3 separate regions of the Mus musculus genome follow, and all the other regions are reported to be linked to region 1. Evidence: microRNA targets listed by miRTarBase, many of them from high-throughput screens and not tested one by one. Region 1 holds a microRNA gene; each other region holds the end of a gene's coding sequence.

Region 1 (4,244 bases):
GTGTGTGTGTGTGTGTGTGTGTGTGTGTGTGTAAATACTTGAACTCATGGGTAGTCTGGCAGCTTACACTCAGCCTACCCCGCAGAGTAATAGCTAATTGCATCCCACTGAGACACAGCAGTAATTAATTAATCTAACAGTGTCCATTAAAATCCACTCTCTGCTTTTAATGATACTTGTGAAGATTTTTAGAAGTAAATATATTCTCTAGGGTAGAATACTTTGCATGTTGGAAAATTTTCCAAGAAACATTCGTAAACACGTTTCATATATTTCTTGAAAAATTAATTTGAAGTCTTTGACTCTGGCCTATGGAAATGTGCCAGTTGCTTGGGCTGCTAATATAGATTTTGTGGTCACCCCGCCCCCTCAATTCTAGGAAACTTCCCTTGTGTAGGGCCATACCTGAAGTTTATCTGAGGTACCATCTATCTTGAGTGGCCTAGCGCTAACTACTGTATTACAAACATGTCTTCCTTCCCTACCTTAAACACAGTATGTTTTCATGTGACTAAGTCTTTTGCTCCTTTCATTACTCTATAGTTCCCCTGTTTTCTTCTTCCCCTCTTCCTTGTGTCTTCTTTTTCCATTCATGGGTCTACAGTTCTTCAAATACTCATCAACATTGGAGCCATTAAAGAGAAACTGAGGTAAGAGTGAACAATGGATTGAAAAAAAACCTCAAATGATAATAAAAATGTTCTGGGTGCAAATCAAGTATTTAACTATATAATGTTCTCACTATATTCTGTTTTGATGGTGATTCAATTCCATTACTGTGGAATTTATTTAAAGTTCCATTATGTGTGCTCTTGCTTACCCACATTTATTCTACGGACTTGGGTGGTTTTCAAAGTCTATAGATTAGTTATTTCAAAGATAAGTAACCATCAAGGTTACAATTACCCTGGCAATTTTTCCCATTTGCTGACAGACAGTGAACTATGAGGAAGAAGGGAAACTCTTGGCACCCCGCAGCAAGAGCCTTCTAAGGTGAATTACCATTTGCCTCTTAAAGCAGAAAGACACTAATAAAACACAGAATACTATCTTATTGTATAGAGAAAACAGAGAGACAAAAGTTAACAACATATATAAGTTTTTATTAGAATTCTCTTTTTAAAAATCCAGAATGACTGTGTAGCTCAAAAGTCAATTCTAAAGCAGTTCAAGCAAAAGAAGAAATACACATGAAGCAAGAAAGATGAATATAGTTGGATAGTGTGCATTAAACAATTCAGGTGAAAGGTAATAAAACATATGGAAAGGTGTTTTTCCTCGAAGTCTTTTCTTTCTCAAAGGTCCAGCTTAGATCCAAATCTGTTGTTCTAGATAGACTAACATCTGAAGAAGGGAAGGGTAAAGGCGGGGGAGAGAAAGGGACAAGAGGAGGAGGGAAGGGAGAAAAACTAGTATTTCATGAGCTTTTAAAAACAGAGTCAAGGCGAAATACTGTGTTAAGTCAAGTATAGATATGTCACTTTATTTAACCCTTATAATAATGATGGTATCACCACCCCCCCTATTTTTAAAGACAAGGATTGAGTCCCCCAGTTTAATTCATACGACCCTTTAACGCAGCTGACTTGGTGAAGATAGTAGAACCCAACCTCCCCCCTTCAAAGCTTCACTATACACACCTGTGAAGGGAAAATGACTAAATCTTTGGATCTGGGTATGGCACTAGCCCATGCGAGGTATACCTTTATTTTGGAGATTGGGAGTAGAGAAATCTGGACCACATTTCCAAGAGGACAAATCTGGTTTGTCTATTTCTTCTTTGTTTTCAGAAGAAAGACCTCAAAAGTTGTCGAGCAAAAGCCACAGAAGGTTTGAATGCTGCCTACAAGTGAGTGGGCTATTAACGTTCTCCCAGAGCATGATCGTTAGTAGAAAATACGGAGGGAAAAAAATGTATGATAGACAGAAATGCGCAAAGTCGAATGTGCATGTTAATCGGTGGTCAGGAAGATGAAAAAGCTCTCGAAACTTCCAGTCCTTAGCTGTCAATGCCTAAGGATAAAGACACTCAAGGAACACCAAAGAGGGAAGCAGAGATGTCCACTAGCTCACGTCTCCAGCATGGTCCACAGGCTATAGTTTGCTATCCTGATGGCCCCTTCTTAGTTGATGAATTTTCACAATGTATTTCATGGCTTCCATCCCTACATGAGACTTTATTACGATCACATAGGAATAAAAAGCCATAAAGCACTAGAGTGAATTTATCTTGGTCGGATGTAAAACTTATTTTCTTCACACGACTTCAAAACCATTTCCAAGCTAACCAATCATTTCATGCTACATTAAGGAACATTTTAGGCTACATGTAAGGGACACAAAGCACACTTAGATTGTAACATCACAAATTAACAAGATTTTATCCTTCAATGACATTCTTCGCTACGAGGACCAGAAACAAGACCAGGAGACACTCAGTAACATTCAACCATGGAATGTCACCAGAAACAAAGGACACTGGGGAGAATTCCTGGAGAAAAGCTCATCACTTGGACATTGAACTTGGAAACACATAAGGAAAGACAGCAGACAGACAAATCAATGTACGAACTGAAGCCAGGAGAATAATTTCAAGCCTCCTGCTTGTACTTTCTCCCATAGATGCTTTCTTATACATTCACTGTGTTCAGATATTTCATGTGGTACCAAGTAGAAAGGAAGAACATAAGACCTGCATGTGCTGTGTTATAATTAAGCTGTCTATACCCAAATAACCTAAAAAGGAAAGAGAAAAAGAGAGGAAGGGAAGGATGGAGAGAGGGAGGGAGGAAGGAAGGAAGCAAGAAAGCAAAGAAGGAAGGAGGGAAGGAAGGAAGGAAGGAAGGAAGGAAGGAAGGAAGGAGGGAGGGAGGGAGGGAGGGAGGGAGGGAGGGAGGGAGGGAGGGAGGGAGGAAGGAAGGAAGGAAGGAAAGAAGGAAGGAAGGAAGGAAGGAAGGAAGGAAGGAAGGAGGGAGGGAGGGAGGGAGGAAGGGAATGAGAAGGATCAAACCCACAACATCAAGGGTCCACAAGTGCTCCTTGCCTGTCCGCAGGAGTTCACAGACGTTGAGGACATTCCTACCTCTTTCTATGGAAACAAGTTTCTAACTAAGCCAGAAACAATCCTGGCTGCTGATGTCTCTGTGATCTAAGTACCACAGGTACAGAGGCCGCCAAGAACATTTCTCACGCTGCATTATCTCAAGTGGCCTTGTTCCTGGCATTATAAAACTCTCACCAGTGTGCTGCACCGAAGCCCTGAAAACTTGATGTAGGAAATTTCCTTATTTTTCTAGCCTTTCAAAAATAAATAAATAATTCTGAGGTGCCTATTTACCAACTCCAGAAGCAGCAGCGGTCTACACTATTATCAACTGCCCTCTGCACTTAAAAAGAAAAAGAAAGAAAGAAAGAAATGTGCTATTCAAGTTCAAATGTACAAAACCCCAACCACTTGAGGTTTTCCCCTTAAGGGGTAGAATGCTAGGCAAGCTATTTCTACCTAGAAATCACTATAGTGAAGTTTTGGGTTGTATGAATCATAAGGTGACTGGAAATAGTTAAATGGAAGGAAGTGCATACATAAATCCAATTATCATGCACAAACATGCAAATGATTTAAATGCTGCTTCTGAAACTCTGGTTGATGTTCATTAATCTCAGGTTGCACTTTTTGAAGGGGAAAGACATGCTAATTGGGTCCAGATTAATGCACTCCCAAGCCTCTCCAATTTGTTTTCAGGTGAGGGTTAAATGATATGTATTAAAATAAACACAGCTGCTCATCTACCTCCACCTTTCTGCCTTGGCTTTACTCTACCTCTTCCCCCAGCTGGCTCCCCTCCCCAAAATAACCCACCCCCAGCTGGCTCATCTCCTCTAGCGTGCCTCTTCTCTTTCAGAAGCTATCAAAGAGGCCTGCCTTGTTCTTTATTTGAGAACACATGGAAGAATGACTCTTTTTTTCAGTCAGTGCTTGCCCTTTCCTCAGGAGTCCCGTCACTCCATAAAGGGGGATCATCCACGTATTAGACCCCAGTGATGCTTAGCTGTGGCACCAAACACATACACCAATGGGAAAGCAGCCTGGCCTTTTCTCAGATAATGCACTCTTTCTCCTAGTCTGGGCTGTGGCCCTTTGGACCAGGATTGAAGGGTAGTTCGAAAGATTCTCCAGCACAGGATTGCTGGGAGCCAAAATTGCTTAAGGTTGGCATGGCGATCCTGTGACTTGGTTGTGTGGG
Region 2 (4,244 bases), not on the chromosome of region 1:
TAACAGTTAAACATGTTCTTAGTCCTATGGGTCTGTGTCTGAGAAATTCTGTTATTTGTTGAAGAGTTGAATACTGCAGATGTGTCTTTTAATACCATATGTGAGTGCTTACTGGTTTTCTGTAGTTTAAGTAAGTCTTATGTGTTTCTGCAGTTAAGCTTTTTATTGTTAAAGTTAGTGTGGACTGTTGACTGTTCAAGAGCGATTTGCTTTGCTGCCTGTTCATTTCCAGGGCTGGGGAGCAGAGTACCACCGACAGGACGTCACCAGTACTCCCTGCTGGATTGAGATTCACCTCCACGGGCCTCTGCAGTGGCTGGATAAAGTCCTTACTCAGATGGGCTCTCCGCTGAACCCCATTTCTTCTGTTTCATAGTGCAGAAGTATTCTTTCAACTATATTTTTAGTGGACTTGTTTTAATTTTAGAGGAATTTCCAGTACAGATGCTGTGAGCTGACATGGAAAACAGATATTATTTTTTCTACGTAATTGTGACCAACACATTTGTATTTTATGATGATATTACATTTGTTTGTATTCGTGTTCATTGTGATTAACTTTCAAAAGTATTGTAAACGATGTAGAGTATTTTGCCCCTGTTGAAATGTTTAGCATTGATCTTAAACTGGAACGTACTTTTTCTTATTGTCCCAACGTTTTTTAATTTGTTAAATTTTTTTTACAAAGTAGTTCATCACATAATGAAATTTTATCCTATAAGAGAACATATATTGTGGAAAGCAGTAGATGATATTTCTCTGGGAATTTCTTTGCCTTACCACCTTTGAAAAAGCATACATTGTTTGCAAAACCTCAAAGTAGGGCTTGCTTAAAGGAAACTGTTGAATCTTGTTTGAAGGACACTGCAGTCCTAACGTGTTCAGTGAAAGCAAGGTGGTAGATTTCTGGACGTCATACATTTACATTTAATATAGGTAATATTCATCAGTGTAATGTGACTTCATGCCATATATATTTTGTAAAACAATTCCTTTTTAAAAACTTCAAGTATTTCTCATTTACTCAAATTTGTTGTAAGTCCTACTTAACAGTTAGTTACTATGTGCTCTGTGGCCTTGTTCAGCATTGTTTGCTGCTTTGGGCCAACAATTCAAGAACTCTAATTTTCCTGTGCATTAATCTTTTCATTTTGCACTTTTATGGGTGACTGTCTTAGTGTAGCCTCTGGTAAAATACTATTAGGTGGCCTGGTTTTAGAGCTCCTCCTCGCTGCCTTGGCACTCCTTTGTGCAACACGACCACTTAGAGATGACAGCTGTGAGCTGTGCTGCTTTTTCTAGCCTTTAATTTCCAATGTAGTTTATAATGTTGTTCTTCTATAGCTCCAGCTAAGGTGCCTGTTAGTCCCCTACAATGTTATGAGCATTATTGACATTGAAAGGTTATGTATGTATGAATACCTTTGCTCCTTACCAGACTTGTCATACAAGGACTCGTGCAGTGTAGCCAGTAGAGGCTCTTTGGTTGGCCCAAGAATGAGGCTGTTGGTGTAAGTGAATCACAATAGGGATTGGGATAGTTCATGTCATATGTCATATAGCAAGACAATGTAGAGTGTAGGCTTGTCTCTCTGCATCAACGCTCTGCCTCTTTCTTTTTATCCTTTTAGAACCTACATGGACGCTAATCTCCACAACACTGTTGGATGTGAACACTCTTAAGACACTCATCTAGTTCACTGTGCCTTGTCCTTAGGACTCTTAACCACTTTCTAGGGAGCAGTTATGGCCTGAGATGGACAGTCATGGCCTGAGAATGAAGACACTACTTTGATAAAGAAAAAGGCCTCATTTGCCTATCAGAGTGAGAAAGGTTTTTTTCTGGTGCCTTTTGAAAATATACAGAGCCACTTGGTTCTTCTGCTGAAAATGTAATTTTGGTTTGACTTTTTAGAGTGCCCTTCCTGCCTTTATGAGGAAAACAGCTATTTTTTTTTTTGGGGGGGGGGATTCCTTTTGTTTTCTGTGCCATTATTTATTGCCTTTCAGAGTGCAACCATTGGGTGGCTTTGCTCCTTCAGAGAGGGCTCCTTGATAGCCTTCAGTAGCTTGAGCTGTAGACATAAGTATTCCATAGCAAGAGTGTGTCAGCTCCATGAGAGAGATGTCTGCTTTATAGCCGAGGCAGAAACCGTTCATGTTCCTTTACTTGGCAGCCTTCAGGAACAGGTTTGTAAGAACGTGTCTTGAGTTGAGTGAGTGTATGTCTGTGAGCTCTGCTGAAGTCTGGACACAAGGGCCTTGCCTGCTCCTTTTTTCAGCAGTGGGTTACATGTTGTCTCTCCACAGTCTTCATGTCATAGGTCTCGGACTTGCAGAGTCCTATGTGGCCTGCCATCTGTACAGTGGCAGGACTGAAGCTCTGAGCTGTTCTGAGGTTCATGGAGAAATCCCAACCTATTCTGTGGTCAGTAAATGGAGACTGTGTAGTCTACCTGCTCCTGTACTGTCCTTACTGTATGTAAGGATATACAGACGCCTGTGGGTAGGCAGTACTCACAGTGAGATGAAGACAGCAAGTGTGCACTGAACCACAGAGGGCAGGGAGTAGGGCCTCTGAAGAAGCCACCAGACCAGACCAGTGCCGGTACAGTCTTTGTCAGAGATGGCTCTGATGGGGCCCAGACTGACCCTGACCATGCTGAGTTGCTGAGGGTAGCCTTCAGTTCTCTACCCTCTGAAGTGCTAGGATGACAGACATCCGCCATCATACCCAGCTTCCGTGGTGCTAAGGATCAGCCTCAGTCTTCAGGCGTGCTAGGCATGTACTTTGCCAAGTATTTAGTATACAAAATACATTAGTATCTGCCAGGGAAAAAAGATTTGCAAATAATAAAGATTGCCATCAGTTTGATAAATGTTGTAAATGGAAGAATCAAAATCTCAGCGATGGATTACAGCAACAAGATGCTGCCTAGGAAAAGCAGGACCAAGAGGTACATTTGACTAGTATACCTTCAGCGTAGCGTGATGACCTCACTGATGTCACCCAACTGAACTTAAGGGCTGTAAGTAGGCGTGCTGTGGGCCTTCCAGAACTAGAGAAAATTATAGGAGGAAGTCAGTTCTAAAGTATCAAAAGCTGGGTAATGGTGGCACATGCCTTTGATTCTAGCACTCGGGAAGCAGGGGCTAGCCTAGTCTACAGAGCAACTTCTACACAGAGAAACTGTCTTGGAGGAAAATAAAAAAAGAAAAGTCAAAGAGCAAACAAATAGAACAGAGTAGGAATCCGTGTCCCCTTTTTTCTATGTTTCACGGTTGCAGGTGTAAGAAAAGTAGTCATAGATGTGGCTGAGTTTCTAAGATGAAACCAGTAGTAAGATTGCTAAATATAACACTTCAACCAAGTTAAACACCCTTTGGGGGTATGAATGAAAGTAACACTGCAATATGAAATGAACCGTGCAAGTAACACTTGGGGTTACCTCACAGTCTCCCTATGCCTGAGAGGACTGTGGGAAACATTTCCATCCCCTGCCAGTATCGCCATTGGGAGGACAGAGTAGATGAAGAAGTGAAGTCTTACTGGTCCAGGGCACGCCTGTCAGCAATGCCATTTGTGCTTCTGCCACAGAGAGCACCGAGAGGCTTGGCTCAGTATCCTCGAACCTTCTCTGGTCACTTCCCTGGCAGCACTTGGGTCCCTGTCACTCACTGGTCTCTTAAAAGTCCCGTCTCTTTGCTTCCTAAAGATTCTCTAAAAAAATTACTATTTTTTATTTCTTTTTTAAAAGTCTTTGTTATTTTGTTTTGGGATACAGTCTCTTTGTACAGTCCTGGCTGGCCTGGAAATTACTATGTAGGCCAGCCTCAAACTTGAAGTAATTCTCTTGCCTCTGCCTCTGGAGTTCTGGGATTACAGGCATGCACTGCAGAGTACAGTGAGCTCTGATGGCTTTTAAAATTCAGCCCCTTTGAGGGTTTGGTTTTAGATCCATTAGCTTTGTCTGAACCCATCTTTGTCCGGCCGAGTAAATCCTCTGCTATCCGGGGTCTCGGTAGAAATGTGTTCTCAGTATACATACGACTAAACATTGGTTGTTTATAGGTAGCCTCAGATATTTGGTAGAGCATCTTTTTTGAAAGTAATCTCCAGCTAGGTGGGTATTTCCCTCACAGCAGTAGGATTTTCCCTTTAGGAGATACCAGTTCTTCATCTTTCTTGTGAAAATAATGCCTTTATGGGGAGTGAAGATTAAGGAGTTGTTTCTACACTAACA
Region 3 (4,244 bases), not on the chromosome of region 1:
AACCCGGAAGTCAGGAGCTTCGGCGATTTGCTTAGCTCTGGCTGGTGCCTCCTTTGGGAAATCATACATATGTCCCAGTCTTCCCATGGCCCCCTATTCTGAAGAAAAAAAAAAATGTCCTATTTTCTTGTAAGCTGCAGGTCCTTCACAGATCTTATCTTCAGGCTTCACTTTTCTCATTTAAAAAAAGTATCATAACTCTACCCTGGGTTCTGAGAATCCTAGTCAGTCAAGGTCAAATAAAAGACAGGTATTTGGTGCTATGACTGGGTGTTATGGTCTGGAATCAACAGTTTTGGTGGCAACCACTTGTATCCCAGCGCGGGAAGATAGACGTTAAGTTTGAGGCCAGCTTGTGTTACATAAGTCCCAGGCCAGCCAGAGCCACTCAATGAGAGCCTATCTTTAATCAAAGCCAGAAACAGGTTAGAACCAGTCCTAATAATAAACCTTTGAAATCTCCACTAATAGGTGAACTATGGGGTGTGCATGGAAAGATACATGACCCACACTACATGGAGGAGTCTAGTAAACGGAAGAATCCAGACTCAGGCTCAGGCCTTACACCTGTTTCTTCGAGACAGGGTTTCTCTGTATAGCCCTGGCTGTCCTGGAACTCACTTTGTAGACCAGGCTGGACTCGAACTCAGAAATCCATCTGCCTCTGCCTCCCAAGTGCTGGGATTAAAGGCATGTGCCACCACGCCAGGCTCAGAAATGTCTTTGAGTTAGCTAGTGTTAGTGGCTGTAAATGTGTTAAACACAAAACAAAACCATTTAATTAAACACTTACAAAAATGTGGTCTGGCCAGGTATGGTAGTACACAGGAGGAGCTCTGTGAATTGGTGGCCAGTCTGGTCTACATAGAAAAATCCTGTCTCCAAAAAAAAAAAAAAAAAAGAAAAAAAGAAAAAGTTTTGTACTGCTGGGCACTGAGCTCTAAGCCTTGGGCATGCCAGGAAAACTCAACTGCTGAACTACCCACCTGATTCTAACATTTTAAACTGTAGGTCACAAAATAAAGATCAACATTTGAACAAGTTCTCTGTGCTGGGGACCATCTTCACTAGATTTAGCATCCTCCTGACTCCCCACAACCCGAGGCACTCGCTTCTACTGGCCCTTCTGAGCCACAGCCTCTGAACACTTACAAAACCATGACAAGGCACCATGGTTTCACTGAGATGCGAGGGAAGGCACGGAGGTCAGGCAACCTTATCTCCTGAAAAGAAAGAGTCGCCCTGGAACCCCAGCAATTGGCCAGACAGAGCTCCCCTTCAAGGCGACCAGGGAGAGGGGGGTTAAGTGGCCCTGCCCTGCAGCCTTATCTCATCTCATAGCTGACATTTGGGAAATTTGCTTTGCCACCTAACCTTGGCCATGGCCCAGGCATCCAAAGATTTCTCTGGACTCTGACCTGCTTGTGTCTGGATCTCCATCCTCACTTTGTCTTCTCTGCCATACTGTTAGCACTGTTCTCTTCCTGGGAGGTCTCTACAGAGCCTTCTCATCCTTTTCCCTCCCCAGCACAGAGCTCTGCACTTATGTGTGTTCCTGTGATGTTTGTGAAAATATTAAGGGTTATTGTGAAGTGGGAGGTATGGCCAGCTTTCCTGCCACATCACATCTCTTTACACTTATGTGAACTTATTTCACATGCATGTATACACACGACCTGTGTGCCCAGAGGAGGGCAACAGATCCCCTCCATAGACATGCTAGGAACTGAACCTGACTACTCTGTGACCAATGATCTCTCCACCTCCAGCATCCCTCTCACAGCTGCCACCTGTTCACCAGAGGAAAAATCAATTAGCCTGCAACAGAGCACATCTGCCTATACCCACTCGCTATCCTACGACAAATAGCTTCCTGACAGCTGGTTTACTTTGCCTTCATTCGATTTAATTTTCAAACCAAACCTTAGAATGACAATTGATCGTCGGAACTAGAACCATGATGGTATACCACCTGCCATGGAAATGGCACCAAACATTGGGAGAGAGAAGGTTTCACAAAGGATCAGGGTTAAAGGGTGAGTTGCAATGGAGCCATAAGCCACACTCGCACAGGGATATTAAGGGCAAATCTAAAATTCCTCAGAGCCAATGCAAGTGGTCAAGAACACAATGCCAAAGGGACCTTACTTTTTAATAAAAATATTTTATTAACTACCTAATACAAAGTGATAGGTTTCATAAGTATATTAGGATCTTAAGAATTCCATATACTCGAGCGGGGCCAGAGCAGGGCCAGAAGCAAGCAGAGGTCCTGAGTTCAATTCCCAACAATCACATTATGGCTCATAACCATCTGTACAGTTACAGTGTACTCATATACATAAAACAAATAAATCTTTAAAAAAAAGAATTCCATTAAACAAGACAGACAGACACTTCTGCAGACATAGCTTATTTAGTCCAACAAACTTGGTTTGTATTTTTTGTACAGGGTTTTGCTGTGTAACCAAAGCTGCCTTCACACTCTCATAAGCCAGGCTGCCTTGAATTCAGAGGTCCTCTTGCATCAGCATCCCAGGTACTGTGTATGTATTTTCATCACATATACATTATAAGGCCCATCTGCTCATTGTCTGTGTGTGTGCCACTAGTGGATCTTTTGGTTTGTTTTTTTGCTCTTTTTTGATATAGGGTCTTACCATATAGCCCAGGCTGGCCTTGATCATGATTCTCTCCAGACTCCCAAGTGTTAGGATTATAGTAGTATACCATGATGACTGGCATGGGTGAATATATTTTATTAATGAAAAATATATTTTATTAATGAAAAATGGGGTGGAATACTATGCATTTTTGAGTAATATTGCCTTGAGGAGGAGATATAATTTAATTTTCAAACTACATTTTAAAATAGTGTTAAGTAGCCAGGCAGTGGTGGCGCATGCCTTTAATCCCAGCACTTGGGAGGCAGAGGCAGGCAGATTTCTGAGTTTGAGGCCAGCCTGGTCTACAGAGTGAGTTCCAGGACAGCCAGGGCTACACAGAGAAACCCTGTCTCGGAAAACCAAAAAGAAAAAAAAGTGTTAAGTAATTAGGACTTAATTTTTTTTTTATGTTTATGTATATCTTTATATCTATATATGCCACATGTGCTAAGGTACCCAATGAAGCCAAAAGAAGGTGACAGATCCCCAGGAGCTGTTATAAGCAGTTGTGAGCTGCCTGATGTGGGTGCTAAAAAGTAACCTCTATAAAAGCAGCAAGCATATTAAACTACTGAACCATCTCTCTGCAGACCATTTCTGAAAATTTTATGTATTTTGTAACATGTTATGTATGAGCTCAAGTGAAGGTAAGAGGCCAACCTTCAGGAGTGTGTTCCAGGGATGGAATTCAGATCATCATGCCTGGCAGCAAGTGACTTCATTTACTGGGCCACTTGCTGGCCCTGCCCTGTTTGTGCTTGAGGCAGAGTCTCTCTCTACACAGAAGAGGCAGGCCCTCAACTTTCCATCCTTCTTCCTCAGCCTCCTGAGTGCTGGGATTACAGGGGTGTGCCACCATGTAAGGTCAATTCGGTTTTTAGTTAGTGATATCTTTCTAAAGTAAATGCCTCACTATTTAAGCTATAACACTGGAATACCCATTAAGAATGGCAGGCTTTCCACACATGACAATATCACTTTATACAGAAGGAGAATACATGTTTAGGCTTTCTTTAGCAGGAGTGCTGGTAACTGGATTTGAGCATTGGCGTGTTGAATTTCATCATTGGAAAACCTAAACTGAACACTTTTAGGATCATTATCTAACAATTTTTTTTTTTTTTTGGCAGAGGCTTAAGACATACACTGGCTTCTAACAAACTGAAAAAAAAAATCCACGTGCCGGGAAGGGAGCTCACTGCACACCACAGGGCCCTTAGAAACCGAAGCACAAGGCGACGCATGGGAAACTTCAAACAGGCAGCTTCAAGATAGACTTAATTTTTCATGATTCTCCCAAAGCCAGTCATGGTATTTATTTAACTTGTGGTCTTCAGGGTGCACCTGGAAGAAATGCAACATTCAGCCATAGACATGTTTAAAGGTTTAGTGAGGGGGTTCATCATGATAATATACCTGAGATAAACGGGACATGGAACCCCACAGCATCCAAGACTGTATATAGTTATACCTTATACAACAGATATCCTACATGGATTACAAAGTGCTCTCCAGTTCAGAACTAACCCAGACCTGGAGCAGAAGGCAGCGATGATTAGAGACCCTGTGAAGCTAACC

What was found. The annotated mature microRNA mmu-miR-135a-5p reads UAUGGCUUUUUAUUCCUAUGUGA and lies in region 1 at 2,187-2,209, opposite strand. An mRNA with a match to its seed (bases 2 to 7 or 8) in the 3' UTR can be bound and repressed. Matches are read on the target gene's strand: a 7mer-m8 pairs with bases 2 to 8, a 7mer-A1 pairs with bases 2 to 7 and ends in A, and an 8mer does both.
Region 2: the mRNA of Smad5 is a reported target of mmu-miR-135a-5p. The part of its 3' UTR that is shown has no 7-base or 8-base seed match.
Region 3: the mRNA of Mbd4 is a reported target of mmu-miR-135a-5p. Seed matches in the 3' UTR shown: 7mer-A1 at 2,299-2,305.

The regions. Positions count from the first base shown.
Region 1 is chr10:92,069,955-92,074,198 of GRCm38, forward strand. It overlaps Mir135a-2 (microRNA 135a-2), which reads right to left and starts at 2,231; the gene lies at 2,132-2,231.
Region 2 is chr13:56,737,103-56,741,346 of GRCm38, forward strand. Smad5 (SMAD family member 5) reads left to right here. Exons shown (of 7, transcript NM_008541.3): 7 at 233-4,244. The coding sequence ends at 376. Among named protein-coding and RNA genes, the nearest start is that of Gm45623, 15 kb to the right of the region's middle.
Region 3 is chr6:115,838,553-115,842,796 of GRCm38, forward strand. It overlaps Mbd4 (methyl-CpG binding domain protein 4), which reads right to left. Exons shown (of 8, transcript NM_010774.2): 8 at 2,145-4,010. The coding sequence ends at 3,933. It also overlaps a transcript of Efcab12 not described here. Among named protein-coding and RNA genes, the nearest start is that of Efcab12, 2.3 kb to the left of the region's middle.